Saccharomyces cerevisiae S288C: one gene and its partners. Changing the gene in region 3 together with the main gene of any one other region gives a genetic interaction. Each region holds a gene or a part of one and is shown on either strand. Other genes may lie near its edges. The genes, in order: UBC6, MGL2, REC104 and PSK2.

Region 1 (3,484 bases), on a different chromosome or scaffold from region 3:
CGGATTTGAAAGATGAAATCATTTTCATAAATTATCTGTCATGTAGGGGAAAATCTAGTAAACCACTCAGACGTATGTTGGATACCGGTAAAGTTGTAGATTATGATGATTTTAATACTCTCAAAGAAACCGAAGATTATACTCAGGGTAAATTTAATGTCGTGTTGGACTTCATCGGTGGTTATGATATCTTGAGTCACTCGAGTTCTTTAATTCACGCTAAAGGTGCTTATATTACAACAGTTGGTGATTATGTTGGAAATTATAAGAAAGACGTCTTTGATTCTTGGGATAACCCTAGCGCCAATGCAAGAAAAATGTTTGGATCAATGTTATGGTCATACGATTATTCTCATTTTTACTTTGACCCCAATATCAAGATTATCCCCAAGAAGAATGATTGGATACATGAATGCGGCAAGCTGCTAAATGAGGGAGTCGTAGATTGCGTTGTTGATAAGGTTTATTCCTGGAAAAATTTCAAGGAAGCATTTTCCTATATGGCTACACAACGTGCTCAAGGTAAGCTTATAATGAAAGTTGAAGGTTTTTGAAATGGGAGTTTCTGTCTCCCTAGGTTTCACCTCATTTTTATTGAGGTTTCTTGGTCAATACATACTCAAAAATATAATTAATAATTCACAATGTTCATAATAAAAAGATCCGTTTTGTCTATATAATACTATTGATTTCTATTCTGTGTTGTCAAAATTTATCTAAAGTTTAGTTCATTTAATGGCTTCATTTCATAAAAAGGCCAACCAAAAACAAAAAAATAGCGATACCAATATAAACCATTGAAGAACTATCATTAGGTTCTTTGCCATCTTTCTTGGAATTATTTTCTGATTGTCTCAACGCTTGTTCAGCGCGTATTCTGTCTTCAGGGTCTAGAATTTCCTCCAACGAGATGACTTTTTCCTTCGCAGCCTTTGTAAAAGGGTCTTCTGTTTCATCACCTGTATTTGCCGCATCCCCCTCATCCAATTTTCTCTTTTCTAATGTCTCTACATTTTCCTGTACAACTTCCGGAAAAATCAATTTGAATCTAACATTTTGAAAAGTGTTATAACTTATGGAATTTCTTGCTAATGTCTTCTTCTGATGGTCTGATGTTGTAATTGATCCTGTCGTGGCTTCATCACTGGTCATGAAACTTAGTAACCCGTTCAAAATGGTTGAGACAGACCAGCCAGGATTCCAAGTATCAGGGTGGTAATCACTCATAGAAAGGCATAATCGTGTGTTGGGCTTGAAACGTCCATTCGGTGTTATCATTCTGATAGCCGGTGGTTTGTATGGATAATCAGACGGGAAAGTTAAAGTACCGTGATATTGACCGCCCTTGTAAGGAGTATCCGCAGGTCCTGTGATAATATAGTGCCACTCTAAAATATTATCTTCGTTGGGGCGAGCAAGAATATATGGTGGAGGGTTTTCCACCATCAACTTGTACTCTTTCGTCAATCTCTTGTGAGCCTGCTTTGTAGCCATTACTATTGTACGTACTTTGTTTGCAATTTGCGAATGCGGTTTTAGTTAATATTTAAAGTCTTTTCTGCGATATGCGATGGTAGTCTTCTTTATCACGGCTCCTAAAGTGTGATAATCGGAAAGTTCCTTTCTGTTCTCTGCAATCGATTTCGGCTTTTTCTGAACACAAATAACCAAAATTTCCTTATTTTATTGGGGAGGCTATCCTAATTGTAAAGTGCAATATTGCTGTGGAAGGATATCGACTCAAGCGACCAGTGGAATAGGATGGCGAGTTGGCTAGTTTAGCTCTCTCCGACATTGTTGCTATTGAACAGATACGGTATGCCCGTGTATTTATCCTCCTACCAAATCGCGCAGCAAAATGGTTAAGCACGTGACTATTTTTCAACAATGAAAAAATTTTGAACAATAGATGATATGAGGAGGCATCGAGGGATTGCTAAGAAGAGGATATTCCTCATCATCCAAAGACTATCTTGTCGTAAGTTTCGTTGAATATGTCTACAAACAGTATTAAGTTGTTAGCTGGTAACTCACATCCTGGGCTTGCTGAGCTTATTTCCCAAAGGCTTGGTGTACCGTTATCTAAAGTGGGGGTATATCAGTATTCAAATAAAGAGACGTCTGTTACAATAGGGGAAAGCATTCGTGATGAAGACGTATATATCATCCAAACTGGTTACGGGGAACATGAAATCAACGATTTCTTAATGGAATTACTTATCTTAATTCACGCTTGTAAGACGGCATCAGTCAGAAGAATTACGGCAGTAATACCAAATTTCCCTTATGCTAGACAAGATAAGAAGGATAAATCGCGGGCGCCCATCACTGCGAAGCTGATTGCCAATCTTTTGGAAACTGCGGGTTGTGATCATGTTATTACTATGGATCTCCATGCTTCACAAATTCAAGGGTTTTTTCATATCCCGGTTGATAATTTATACGGTGAACCAAGTGTGTTGAATTACATAAGGACCAAAACAGATTTCAATAATGCGATACTGGTATCGCCTGATGCTGGTGGTGCGAAAAGGGTGGCTTCTTTAGCGGACAAGCTGGATATGAATTTTGCCTTGATTCATAAGGAGAGGCAAAAAGCTAATGAAGTTTCGCGAATGCTGCTTGTCGGTGATGTTGCTGGTAAGTCATGCTTGTTGATTGACGATATGGCTGACACGTGTGGTACGCTGGTGAAAGCCTGTGACACATTAATGGATCACGGTGCTAAGGAGGTTATCGCTATTGTCACACATGGTATATTTTCTGGCTCAGCTAGGGAGAAGTTAATAAATAGTAGGTTATCAAGAATTGTTTGCACCAACACGGTACCTGTTGATTTGGATTTGGACATTGTCGATCAGGTGGATATCAGCCCTACGATTGCAGAAGCTATCAGAAGATTGCATAATGGAGAATCAGTCTCATATTTATTTACACATGCGCCTGTTTAAAGAAGAGGTATAAACGAATATATTTGTATAAATGTACTAACAGATATTTTGAAAAAAAATGCGTATATCTATTCAGTATTAGCGCTTATGCTGCCACCAATATTCTTCATCTGGTCTCTATGAGATTTTCATTAAAGCTTAATCTTTTCTGATTTACCGCCCTTGCTTTTGGAAAATATGTGAAATTTTATTGTGCTCTAAAAAAAAAAAGTTATTACAGTAGGTGAAGTGAAATACAACTAAATTCGAAAGATCAGGAACAATAGAAAGAAACGTGGAAATTATTTAAAAAAGGAAGAAAAAATGGTACACTAATATTGATACTTTTAGAACAGATGGGTCTCAACTATATGATGTATCGAAACAATCCCGATTTATTTGATGAAGCTCAATATTCTCGATTTTCTTTTTTGCTTATTGCGTTTTTTATCATTTAATGGCGTCTTGGTTTCTGCAGTCTTAACTTCAGGTATATTCCCCAAGGTCTTTTTGCGTTCAATATTTGCAGCTGCCCTCAATTTACGATCCCTTAA
Region 2 (3,925 bases), on a different chromosome or scaffold from region 3:
CCATGGACTTCATAAGCTAATTTGCGATAGGCATTATTTATTAGTTGTTTTTAATCTTAACTGTGTATGAAGTTTTATGTAATAAAGATAGAAAGAGAAACAAAAAAAAATTTTTCGTAGTATCAATTCAGCTTTCGAAGACAGAATGAAATTTAAGCAGACCATAGTATCCTTGATACATTGACTCATAATCAGTTAAATAGCCATTCAATCCCTTTGAGCTATCAACTTCATATTCCTCCACAAGGTCCTTCCACCCGCGAATTTTACGCAGCCGACTTAATTCATCTCCTGTAAATTGGACCAAGGGTTTGGTGCCATACTTTAATGGACCTACATTGACCCAATGCAGCTCTTTACAGTATTTCTTTAGTGCTTCAATACTGGATAGATATTCAAACATATTTTCCGCGGTATCTATGAAATATGCGCTACAAATGATAATTTTATCATAGTCTTTGGAAATGGGAGAATATCGTGTGAAGTCCCCCCATAGTGGGTCCAGATTACTGCGGTGGCCAACTTTGCTCAAATCTGCCGATAAACTTCTCAACTGATTATCAAACACTGTCTGGCATGAATATTGTTGTACAAAAGGACGTATCTTAACGTCATGCTTATATTCGAGTGCAAATAGGTTACATATGTACATCAAGGCTGATAATTCGATGGAGTCCACCTGTATTTTGGGGAAAGTGGTGGCAAGAGTATGGGATAGGCCACCCACACCAGCCCCTGGGGTCACGATAAGAATTTTCTCTTTCATGTCCCCGGCACTAATCACATGATGGTTGATTCTACTAATGATAAAATTTTGTAAAGGATCTCTTTCCACACTATAGTAAGAGCTGAAATCACGACACAAATGTGCTAATGCTTCATGGACCACACTTTGGCTGCCTCGAGACGAAACTATTGGAAATACGAAGTCAGGATTCAATTGAATAAGGTGACCATCTTTAATCTTATAGCCGTGTTCCGCGCATATCTTTTCAATTTCCTCTGTAAATTCTTCATCGTGTTCGTTGGAATGAATCAATTTCCCTAAAGTGAACTCAATTATCTTGTCAATAACTCTTGCGTTTTCTCGGATACCCTCATTATTTTTCATTAATTTGGTGAAGTAGCCTAATTTTTGCAACTGATCTTCTGAAATTCCATTTAATTGTCTTGCTCTCCGAAATAAAAGGCCATTATAGCCTTCTCCTCTTGCTCGATACTCATGTAAACGGATTAAATTCCCCGTAAGATCAGGAAGAGTGGGAATCTGATAATTAATTTTAGAAAGATTCGATTGATCGGCAGATATTGATTTCTCAACATCAACCAATTTTAAGGAGGGCGATAAAACGCTGACTTTTTGGGCCAGATTTGATTTTCTTGATAATAGCTTTTCAACATATGATACAAACCACCTCTGCAACGGCTTATTTTGCCTTAGCAGTGTCATCAGGACTACCACAAGGGCTAGAATTATATTTGATGCCAGTGAGCTAACCATTGGCGCTCCTCAACTTCGTATATCAATATTTTTACCTCTTCTATTTCCTGAAAAATTTGTTAATTGTACAGCATCGTTTACGTTTTTTTTTTTTTACGGGTCTTCTTACCTAACCCCGAAAAGTATTGTGGATCTTAAAAGGGTCTCAATTATTTGAAGTTCGATAAAAACCAACTACTTTGTTATTTTAAAACTGTATTATACAAACGCTGGTAAACTTCCAGAGACGATATGCGTCTAAAAGAATTGTTACCTAATTTTTTGATTGTTCATCAAGAGGTCCCTGAGGATCCTATTGCATTCAAGTCCACCGATAAACGAGAGAATGAAAATAAAGAGATCACCATCCCTGAGCTAATAGATACTAAAGTTCCTGAATTAGCTGACGGTGCTACTGACACTTTATATGGTTTACTGGTCAATGGCCATTTACAAACTGCATATGGTTCCTTTAGACACTTTGACAATATATACAAAGTTCAATATAAAAGAATGATAATCAAATACCCACATGGGGGAGAAGGGACTGTGGATTTTGCTGTAAATGGTAGAAGTACCAAAAGAAGAAAAGTGGAAAAAGAATACGTGCCGACAAGTCAACCGGTATTTAACGGAAACTTGAAACGAAGATATTCGTACTATTCCCCTGATGATCCTAAATTGAACTCAGACGATGCTAAGCCTATGCTTATTATTCTCCATGGATTAACAGGGGGTTCGAGGGAAAGCTACGTGAGGGCAATTGTTCATGAAATCACCACGAAGTATGACTTTGAAGCATGCGTGTTTAATGCTAGAGGATGTTGTTATTCTGCAATTACAACGCCGCTATTATACAACGGTGGTTGGACCAATGATATAAGATATTGTGTTAATGACTTGAGGAAAAGATTTCCGAATAGAAAGTTTTATATGATGGGATTTTCGTTAGGCGCATCTATAATGACAAATTACTTGGGAGAAGAGTCAGATCGTACTAAAATCGAATGTGCTATTTCCGTGAGTAATCCATTTGACCTGTACAACTCTGCATATTTTATTAACAGTACACCAATGGGGTCACGATTTTATTCACCTGCTTTGGGTCACAACTTACTACGCATGGTTCGAAACCATCTCTCTACTCTGGAAGAAAACCCTGATTTCAAAGATGTTATCGAGAAGCATTTAAAAAAGATTCGCACTGTGAGGCAATTTGATAACTTGTTGACAGGCCCAATGTTTGGATATAAAAATGCAGAGGAGTATTACAAGAATGCTTCATCATATAAAAGAATACCCGGGATCAGAACTCCTTTTATAGCTTTGCATGCTCAGGATGACCCAATTGTCGGAGGTGATCTTCCTATAGACCAAATAAAATCCAATCCATACACTTTGCTTCTAGAAACTTCGACGGGGGGGCATGTTGGATGGTTCAAAGACAGATCCGGCAGAAGGTGGTACGCAGAACCCTTATGCAGATTTTTGAAAATATTTCACGACGAAATTACTGTAAAGGGCTTAAAACCTGACTTGGAAAATGTTCAACTCCCAGATCCTAATTGCGAACCCATAGCCACAACCTTTCGCGCGAATTAGTTTGTAAATAAGTCAACTTTTTAGATGTGTAACCTGATAATTTTTTTTTTTGATGTTCGACATCATTATTTCTGAATGAAAACGTGAAAAGCTTCGCCAAACTTAAAATGGAAAATTTCGAATGGAACAAAATATAATCGATGCGATGAATTAAAACCTTGGAAGAAGAGGGTTAATTGTTAAAATTACATATATAATTGGCAGACAAGAATAAAAAATGCATGAAGTAGTAACGATATCGGTTTCGCAGAGAGCAAACCATTTGACTACTCAATTCTTCAATATACAAGAGGGCTATTTACAATTGTCTAAAGAACAACAAGTCAATGACTCCAAAATTTTTCTGAATTCGGTTGTAGATAAAGTTTCAAAAACAATTTCATATGCACCACGTGCCTTACTTTGGGATGCCCGTACAGGTAATGGTTCACTAGGAACATATCAATATTCAGAAAGCCAAGACTATCATTTCGGCAATGAAGACAAATTCAAGGAGCAAACAGTTATAAAGACTCATCCAAGAATACCTAAATCCGAATATCAGAGTTCTCTAGATGCAGGAGCACCGCTGCCTTGTTTGAACAGAGAAAATACGATGTATTGGTCTGACTATTCTAAACTTATCTATGGTCCTTCAAGTTTCAATATTTTGAGAAATTGGTACCATGACACTGAAAATCCAAACCAACCTGACTTTCAAAACTTGGGGGAGCGAAAGTTTGACAGGTATTCCATTGGTTATGACGAATTTACCGAAAATTACTTGCAAGAGTTTTTTGATGGAAATTTGCATAGAGAATTGGAAAAATGTGACACCCTGCAAGGCTTCAATCTTGTAAGTGA
Region 3 (3,187 bases):
GCTGGAGAGAAGTCAAGAGCTAACAATATCTAAAGAAAAACTATCTTCTGAATACCATGCTTTAAAGATGGAACACAGCTCATTAAGTCAAGATGTATTAGTAAAAGAGAATGAAATCAAAAAAATACAGAATGATTACAAAGAAAGTATCAGTTCTATGGACAGTGCAAGTAAGGCACTAATGGTTTCACAAAGAGAGCTAGAGAAGTACAAGAGTTTGAATAAAAAGTTAATCGACGAGTTAGATGAATTGAAGTTCAAAAATGGCGTCTGCAGTGAAAATTTCGAAAATGGTCTCAGAAGCACCGAGGAGAGTTCCAATAATGTAAAAAATAGCAACAGCATAAGAGAAAATCAATTCAACATCAAAATAAATGATCTGAAAGCGGAACTCTTCATCACTAATCAAGAAAGAGATGACTTGAAAAGTGAAGTGTTAGAGTTGAAAAAGAGATTATTGAATTTGGAAAATAACACCAAACAAGTTAATGAAGATGCTGACAGCGATCTACTATAAAAGACAATATGCGTAATGAAATTTCACTTTTCATGTGTAATAACAATAATAATAATAAACATTGATAATAAACATTAATAATATTAATAGTAATCATAACAATTATAATAATGATATAATATAATAATAACTGTACTCTTGACAAAAATTTATATATCATGGAAGAATAAATGAAGGAGAGAAATAGTAACGTGACAAATAGCTTATGCTAACGATATCAAACTAAATCTCAGGGACTACTAAACTGAAATATGCTCCCATTTGAAGCCTGTCTCTCATACATCAGCGCAGAATAGTCCGATTGCAGTATTTGGGCGGTGCTGGACGAAGATATGGGTCTGATTTCATTTACTTCACTTCGTAGCAATGTAAAGCTAAATTCATCCTCTATTTCATCTCCTGCTTGATCATTCCTCTGTATTAAAGGATCGTCATATAATGTGTCACTATACAGAAGACAGGTATCATTATTATTGCTTTCCACCCTCTTCGGCATGCATACTGGGTCGCCTAAGATAAACGGAAGAGATACTGTTGCAGATTTCTTAAAGGAATTGCTTAAGAGGTACGTTGAAGCTGTTCGTTTTAACCCAGGCTTAGGATAGTTTGTCCATGACATGATACAATTTACTGCCTTATCAAATTCATCTTTATTTATCCTTTTTACGGTCTTGTTATTTAACCCAAATTGAATGCTAACCCTTTCAGTTACAAAGTATTGGTGAAGAAAGTCTTGCGTACATGTGATCTTATTTGTATCTTCCTCCTCGATGGACATGTTGTCCAAGTTGCTGTATGTTCTTTTCTTCAGCAGTTTGTTTTCTTATACAAAAGATATATTTTATTTGGTATAGCGGAAAATAGCCGCCAAATATTGTGCGTCAAAGTTGAAGAAACATAAAGTTTAACACTACTGGTTTATGAAAGAAAAGACTACATTTGTAAGCCTACTCCAAATTGACCTTTGAATAAGTGTGGCTTACTCTATTAGCTAAAGGACATTATCACTCATCACCATGAACATTCAGTAGTAACATAAAAGTCCCTGCCTTGTTTGTGAATGAGGGTCCCTTCCTTTACATTCTACCAACATAGTCTCCTTTTCTTCCATTTATGCCCTAATAATCGATTTTAATTACTTAATGGGTAAGTTTCTCTGACTAGATTAAAAGAAGCGCATCCGAACAAATTGGAATGACCATGCTAAGCTGCCTTTTAAAGAACAAGGGAAAACTTTGATAAAAACACTCAAGTGCACCATATTGTTTGTAGAAGGATATGAAATATACGCAATACCCGAACAGCTCAAAACTGAAAAGAAATAGTGATCGACGTGAACACGACGAAAAGCTTAGCGATGAGTTACATAATCAAAGTACGATATATGAAGATGAAGAGCTAAGCAGGGCAGAATATGATTCTGATTCTGATTCTAGCGTTGAAGATTCTACAGATAATGAAAATAGTGGGAAAGAAATGGATGAAAAATCCTATGAAAAAAATGAAGATCACGTCGAAGACCATAGAAAGCGAAAGAAATCGAAAATTCAGCTTTTGGATATTGCAGAGTTCAAGAAAGAAAACTTAGCCGACTTAGATTATCAGATCGGTAATTCAGAGAGCAAGGTAGAAAAAGGTGTGAATATAGAGCCATTTAATATAGATGACGAAATAAAACATGGGGTATTCGATAAAGATGGGAATTATATTAAGACAGAAAACGCCACAGAAAATGATCAACAAGATAATGAGGAATGGATGAATGATGTCATAAATACAGAGGAGGTAAATCGCTTAGAAAAGGAACAAAGTGTCAAAACGCAGAATTCGAGACATTATATGGTCCACGAAGCATTAAATCTTTTGAAATTTTTTCTTGTTGATGAGAATGAAACAGTACTGGAATCCTTGGGCAGGTTAAACAAGCTGCGAAAAATTGCCATTTCAAAAAAGAACAAATCATTGAAATATGTTATTCACGGAATCGAGCTATTATCTGATTTGATCAATATACTAGAAAAAAAGGGATTCAGTGAAGTATATGAATATAACCGCTTAAAAGTTCAGGATGCTATAGAAGAGGAAATTTTCGATGACTCCTCCAGAATAGTTAACCATAAAACAAAGTTATGGGGCTTCAAGTGGTTGAACAAATTAGATGAATATCACGGCCTGTACACGAACTATGAAATGTCTTATTGGCAAAAATCCTACTTCAAAAACAGTGTTATAGTAAAATTTCACAGCGAACCAGATCGAGATGAAAACTGGATACATGTATCGTGTTTAAGTTTCATGTAAGATATAAAAGTTGAAATTATTCAAGAGAATTGCCTGCGAGACTATATAGTACTAAGTTTATTGTTTGGTCAGATAAATTGATGAATGTTGGATAGGAAATTTTTATCAATCATATCAAAAGATCTGAGTGAGCTGAGAAGGTTATCATCATATAACAAATAAACAGGACTATATTATTGGCAGACAAAAAATGAGTATCACAAGTGTACAAGGAAACCAGGACAGTAAACCTACTGTCGCAAATTTCCTCTATCCACCTGGCGCGTAAGAATCACCTGATAAAGATATCGTTGAAAGCATCGACCTAGACATTTTTAAGCTGCCATAAATTGGGCTGATAAATTTGTGATATTTTTCTCCAACTGTTTA
Region 4 (5,896 bases), on a different chromosome or scaffold from region 3:
TCATAAGTCCCCTGATTTCCCAAATTTTTTATGCATATACAAATGTTGAAAAGAAACGAATATTATTAGCAAGTAATATATAGTATATAGTATATATATATATTTATATATGTAAACATATAATGAATATATAAATTGGTATGTAAAAGAGTTGCGAGCTTCATGGCGGATTAATGTGAGCTATAGATTGTTGGATTGGAGGTGCATAGGATCCTACAGTAGGCTCTTCTGGTTCCGCAGGAGGGGAAGGAGGTACGGCTGGCTGGTCCCGGTCTTTTATCTCTTTAACTATCCAAAGCGAAGCACCTACTGCGTTTGTTCCAATGAACAACCCACCCAGAATGGGAATAGACTCTAATAAACCGCTGGATATCGAGTAAAGGAGCCACTTGGCAAAGCCCTTGTAGTAAACTTTGGAAAGTTTGCGCGAATCCAAATGTAGCACGTCAACAAAATAAGGCTCAAAATAGTAAAATCCCATTCCGGGGCTAAATGGTAGCATATTGATTGTAATTGGACCCACTATTGGAACGAGCAACAATAAAAGAAACATAAAGGCTATGAAGATGTACCAGAAGAAAAAAATGAAAAACTGCGGCAAAGAGACGAGGTAAAACCGTTTCGAAAAGAGGCCACCCAAACGATGTGACCTTCTGTAGACAAAGGGCGTGAAACTTATCGTTTCACAGGCTTCACTCAACTCTGTTAATCCCTTTCTTGCGAACGTCACTCCATAAATACGTGTGAAAAGAACGAAATCGGTACCCTTCACCATAGAATTACATAGCGTTGTGGAAATCAGAATAGTTTGCATATAAGCCAGAGGTAACGCAAAGAGTCCGAGAAAGGGCAAATAGATGCACACTAACAAGGACCACGCAAGGATTGACGTAAACGCAACAATAAGCAGGAGATTCAGCAGGTAGTATCCAAATATTAGGAAAAATAGATGCAAATAATCCGAGTTTCCCACGGATTCGCTAATTCCCTTCAAAGGCGGTTAGTATGACGGCTTAAAAAACATGATCTGCTTATTGGAACATCAACATACTTTATACGGATACCAGATGATCTGGTGCGACGACTCTAGGTCTTTCCAAAAATTGTCTTTAACAAGCATAGCATTCTTGTACCATCGAACTATCGGAGCCTTGTATGCCATCCAAATTTTTGATTTCTTATGGTTCCCTTGGTCTTGGATGGGGAGTAATTGTGGTTCCTCCCCTTCTGCCAGTGGCGTAGAGGCATATGGATGTCTATGGTAATACCAATCAGGTTGGGGTCTAGTCGACATGTTTGCTTGGTGTCTTAGCAGCTCTTATAGTTCTAATGCTATAACTAAGAAAGTAATAATAATAATAATAAAAAGCTTTATATAATGTTTTATTATGGAAGTTTCGTTTTTGTGGCGCGACGCGATCAGCCAAAATCAGCGGAAAAATTCGTCGGAACATTTTTTTCTTTTTTGGCCAAGCTATTGTTACAGGTGGGGCAGGGGCAAGAGACGATATGTCATCGCGAAGCTGTAAAGACACTTGTCGAAGTGATAAAGCGCAAGAGCTGTTTGTCTACGGAACCAGCAAGTACTATCTAATAGCGTGTTCCAGAGAATAACAGCATTTTTCAACTTCTTTCTCCTGGTGTGAGTAATCAGTACGTGAAAAGAGAACGAAGTTAAAAAAAAAAACAAGAAAAAGAAACAAGATCAAAAGAAACGATAAAGGCTGGCTTATAAAATAATAGCATCGCGAACGATCAATAAGGGGCCCTGTTTATTTTTAACAAAGTTTACATATTTCGTTTTCCTCTTTAAGCTGACATCACGTCTATACCCTGTTTTATTCCTTGTTAGAAACATAACGGAGCAGGTAGTAACAACAACAGTATAAACTATCATAAACTTTTTTCCTTCCTTATTGGTGACTTTTAACACTTAGAATTCTAAGTCTGGCAAGAACAGTAATCATACTTCTTTGCAGGGCGTTTTATTGTTACTCCTCTGCCCTGCTAGATTAAAGTAAAGAATCATAAACAAAGAACACAATGACATACCCGGTTAGTGCAGCCGCTCCTGCCGACATTTCATATTCTAAAAATACCCCGTTGGTAGGGCTCTCTAAACCTCCATGCTTGTACCAACACGCTTCCTCGTCCGTCGATTCGTTTTCGTCAACATTCAGTGATGATGATCGTTCGGACCTTGTTGCTGTACCTAATGAGTCGCCGCATGCATTTTCGTATAATCCCATATCACCAAACTCACTGGGAGTAAGGTTGACCATCTTAAGAAGGTCTTTGGAAATAATGGTAAACAGTCCTGACATCTTACATGAGTTGAAGAAAAAAGCACCCGTAATAGCATACCCCCCCTCACTTAGACACACAAGAAACTTAACAGAGACTGCCACGTTATCAGCATCGCGAGATCCGTTAAATGGGTCTCTAATTTCACCATTAGTATCCAATATGCCATCTCCTGCTAGTAGACCCGTGATACAGAGAGCAACGTCCTTAATGGTGTTGCCTGATAATGATACTGCCAGTAAACTGAATCCAGCCAAGTCCGAGTTAGAAAACTTGTTATTCTTGCTAAATTTAGCATTGGAAAACAATTCCTTCGAAAGAGCTTCCGATTTACACATGCTATCGTTATTGAATATCAAGAAAATAAACTTTGATTCAGACATTCAAAAATCAGAAACTTTGAAAAAGGTTTTATTAGATAGTTTAGCAGAACCATTTTTTGAAAACTACAAGAAGTTCCCTCACAAAGATTTAGGTTCGAAATCGCAATATAATGAATATGAGGAGAAACACGATGATATAGTCTCCTTAGCAGACATCAAACCACAACAGGACTATAGCCGAATTCTTCATCCTTTCACATCTGCAAAAAATTCTGGTCCAGAGGCCATTTTTACATGTTCTCAACAATACCCCTGGAACTTCAAAGCTGCCAATGATTTGGCGTGTCTAACGTTCGGTATATCAAAGAATGTTATCAAGGCACTTACTTTACTAGACCTTATTCATACGGATAGCAGAAATTTTGTTCTAGAGAAAATCATGAATGCAGAAGATGATAACCAAGAAATTGTGTTTACCGGAGAAACTATACCTATCGTCCAGCCAAATTCGACAAGCAATAATAATGTACCAAATCTGATTTGGGCTTCACTATGGGCCAAGCGGAAGAATGGCCTACTGGTCTGCGTATTTGAAAAAACGCCTTGCGATTACATTGACGTCATGTTAAACTTGAGAGATTTTTCAGTGGACAGCATTATTGATACAACACACTTTCTGGAAAACTTTGACAAGAAAAAGCAGCAAGAATCAACTTCGCCAATGACAGAAAAGAAAACGGTAAAATTTGCAAATGAAATTCACGATATTGGGTCAGTAAGTCACTCACTGAGTAAACTAATTGATGATGTACGTTTTGGAAAAGTGTTTTCTGCAGATGATGATTTATTACCCTTGTCTATCAGGGTGGCAAATCATGTCAACGAAGAGAGATATTTTACGTTGAATTGTCTATCTGAAAATATACCATGTGCTGTTACAACTTCCGTATTGGAAAACGAAATAAAATTAAAAATTCATAGTTTGCCCTATCAGGCTGGGCTATTTATTGTTGACAGTCACACTTTAAGTCTTTTAAGTTTCAACAAATCAGTCGCCAAAAACATGTTTGGCTTGCGACTTCACGAGTTGGCCGGTAGTTCGGTTACTAAGTTGGTTCCTTCTTTGGCGGACATGATATCTTATATCAATAAAACTTATCCTATGTTAAATATCACATTACCAGAAAATAAAGGATTGGTTTTAACAGAACATTTTTTCAGAAAAATTGAGGCTGAAATGCATCATGATAAGGACTCGTTTTACACTTCTATTGGTCTAGACGGCTGTCACAAAGATGGTAATTTGATAAAGGTGGATGTTCAATTACGGGTCTTGAATACGAATGCTGTATTATTATGGATTACACACTCAAGAGACGTGGTCATTGAAAATTATACCACCGTTCCTTCGCAGCTACCGATGTTAAAGGAGAACGAAATTGATGTCGTTGGCAGTAGAGGTAGTTCCAGTGCATCTTCCAAGAAATCTTCGGAAAAAATTCCTGTGAATACTTTGAAGGCAATGGCTGATCTGTCGATTAGCTCCGCTGAAACGATTTCTAATTCAGACGATGAAGTAGACTTAAATCAAGTGAATGAAAAACTACGAGAAACTTCTTGCGGTAAAGTGAGAGGTATCGAATCTAATGACAACAATAACTATGACGATGACATGACAATGGTTGATGATCCTGAGTTAAAACATAAAATTGAATTAACGAAAATGTACACGCAGGACAAATCAAAATTTGTAAAGGACGACAACTTTAAAGTGGATGAAAAATTTATAATGAGGATAATTGAACCGATAAACGGAGAAGAAATCAAAAAGGAAACAAATGAGCTAGACAAAAGAAATTCTACTTTAAAAGCTACGTACTTGACTACTCCAGAGGCTAATATAGGCTCACAAAAGCGCATAAAGAAATTTTCTGATTTTACTATTCTGCAAGTGATGGGTGAGGGTGCGTACGGTAAAGTCAATTTATGCATTCATAACAGAGAACACTATATCGTGGTCATCAAAATGATTTTCAAAGAGAGGATTTTAGTAGACACATGGGTGAGAGATAGAAAATTAGGTACTATACCTTCTGAGATCCAAATTATGGCGACCTTGAATAAAAATTCCCAAGAAAATATCTTGAAGTTATTAGATTTTTTTGAAGATGACGATTATTATTACATTGAAACACCGGTCCATGGAGAAACTGGTAGTATTGATCTATTTGATGTTATCGAATTCAAAAAAGATATGGTTGAACATGAAGCTAAACTGGTGTTTAAACAGGTAGTCGCTAGTATAAAGCATTTACATGACCAAGGAATTGTTCATAGAGACATAAAGGACGAAAATGTTATTGTTGATTCTCATGGCTTTGTAAAATTAATCGATTTCGGTTCGGCTGCCTATATCAAGAGTGGACCATTCGATGTTTTTGTGGGAACAATGGACTATGCTGCACCTGAAGTCCTTGGTGGTTCCTCTTACAAAGGTAAACCACAAGATATTTGGGCTCTTGGTGTGCTACTTTATACCATAATTTATAAAGAGAATCCTTATTACAACATTGATGAAATCTTGGAAGGTGAATTAAGGTTCGATAAATCGGAACATGTCAGTGAAGAATGCATCAGTTTGATAAAAAGAATTTTGACAAGAGAAGTTGATAAAAGACCTACTATTGATGAAATATATGAAGATAAATGGCTTAAAATCTAGTTTTCCGTACTCTCCAAGATAAAGGGAAAGAATAATTTAATCCATTTTCATAACCATTTACCTTCATAAATGTTCTATTCTTTTTTTGGCTATATATTAATTACATTTTTAATATCATATCATTGCTCTATATCCTTCTTGTCCAGCCTCTATGCAGTATTTTCTTTCATTCTATTTTGGGGCAAACTTCTGCGCTGAGCGGCTTATCGCCGTCGGAGTGACATCAAGTACCATAGAAAAGTCATCGTAGACTTACATATTTAGGCAAGAGAAATAGTTAGGTAAACAGAAAGAGGCACTAGCAGAACGTACTACGGTGTGGTTTATACAAGAGGGTTCTGTGAATAATGGCTGCAAGTGAGATAATGAACAATCTGCCTATGCATTCCCTCGATTCTTCTCTAAGGGATTTACTTAACGATGACTTATTCATTGAAAGTGATGAATCGACCAAGTCGGTAAATGATCAGAGGAGTGAAGTATTTCAAGAATGTGTGAACCTTTTCATAAAAAGAGATATCAAGGATTGCCTAGAAAAAATGTCTGA

The links.
Region 1: mutations in REC104 (region 3) and UBC6 together harm fitness more than expected from each alone (negative genetic interaction), as found in Saccharomyces cerevisiae (2 studies listed by BioGRID).
Region 2: mutations in REC104 (region 3) and MGL2 together harm fitness more than expected from each alone (negative genetic interaction), as found in Saccharomyces cerevisiae (2 studies listed by BioGRID).
Region 4: mutations in REC104 (region 3) and PSK2 together harm fitness more than expected from each alone (negative genetic interaction), as found in Saccharomyces cerevisiae (3 studies listed by BioGRID).

Annotation. Positions count from the first base shown.
Region 1 is NC_001137.3:357,572-361,055, reverse strand, and holds UBC6 (E2 ubiquitin-conjugating protein UBC6), read right to left. Parts: upstream 1,495-3,484; coding exon 742-1,494; downstream 1-741. Other genes in the region: AST2 (Ast2p), read left to right, coding at 1-554; ribose phosphate diphosphokinase subunit PRS2, read left to right, coding at 1,995-2,951; putative ubiquitin-specific protease UBP9, read right to left, coding at 3,326-3,484. UniProt on the Saccharomyces cerevisiae protein: Catalyzes the covalent attachment of ubiquitin to other proteins. Functions in degradation of misfolded or regulated proteins localized in the endoplasmic reticulum (ER) lumen or membrane via the ubiquitin-proteasome system.
Region 2 is NC_001145.3:685,784-689,708, forward strand, and holds MGL2 (putative carboxylic ester hydrolase), read left to right. Parts: upstream 1-1,732; coding exon 1,733-3,082; downstream 3,083-3,925. Other genes in the region: ERG12 (mevalonate kinase), read left to right, coding at 1-15; YMR209C (uncharacterized protein), read right to left, coding at 128-1,501; DML1 (Dml1p), read left to right, coding at 3,300-3,925. UniProt on the Saccharomyces cerevisiae protein: Converts monoacylglycerides (MAG) to free fatty acids and glycerol. Has a preference for palmitoyl-MAG. Does not play a significant role in ethyl ester biosynthesis. Also possesses ester hydrolase and low but persistent TAG lipase activity.
Region 3 is NC_001140.6:411,015-414,201, reverse strand, and holds REC104 (Rec104p), read right to left. Parts: upstream 1,296-3,187; coding exon 747-1,295; downstream 1-746. Other genes in the region: KEL1 (Kel1p), read left to right, coding at 1-517; U5 snRNP complex subunit LIN1, read left to right, coding at 1,796-2,818. UniProt on the Saccharomyces cerevisiae protein: Potential transcriptional regulator that is required to activate expression of a number of early meiotic genes including HOP1.
Region 4 is NC_001147.6:241,454-247,349, forward strand, and holds PSK2 (serine/threonine protein kinase PSK2), read left to right. Parts: upstream 1-2,043; coding exon 2,044-5,349; downstream 5,350-5,896. Other genes in the region: LDS2 (Lds2p), read right to left, coding at 161-988, 1,052-1,294; PEX15 (Pex15p), read left to right, coding at 5,697-5,896. UniProt on the Saccharomyces cerevisiae protein: Serine/threonine-protein kinase involved in the control of sugar metabolism and translation. Phosphorylates UGP1, which is required for normal glycogen and beta-(1,6)-glucan synthesis.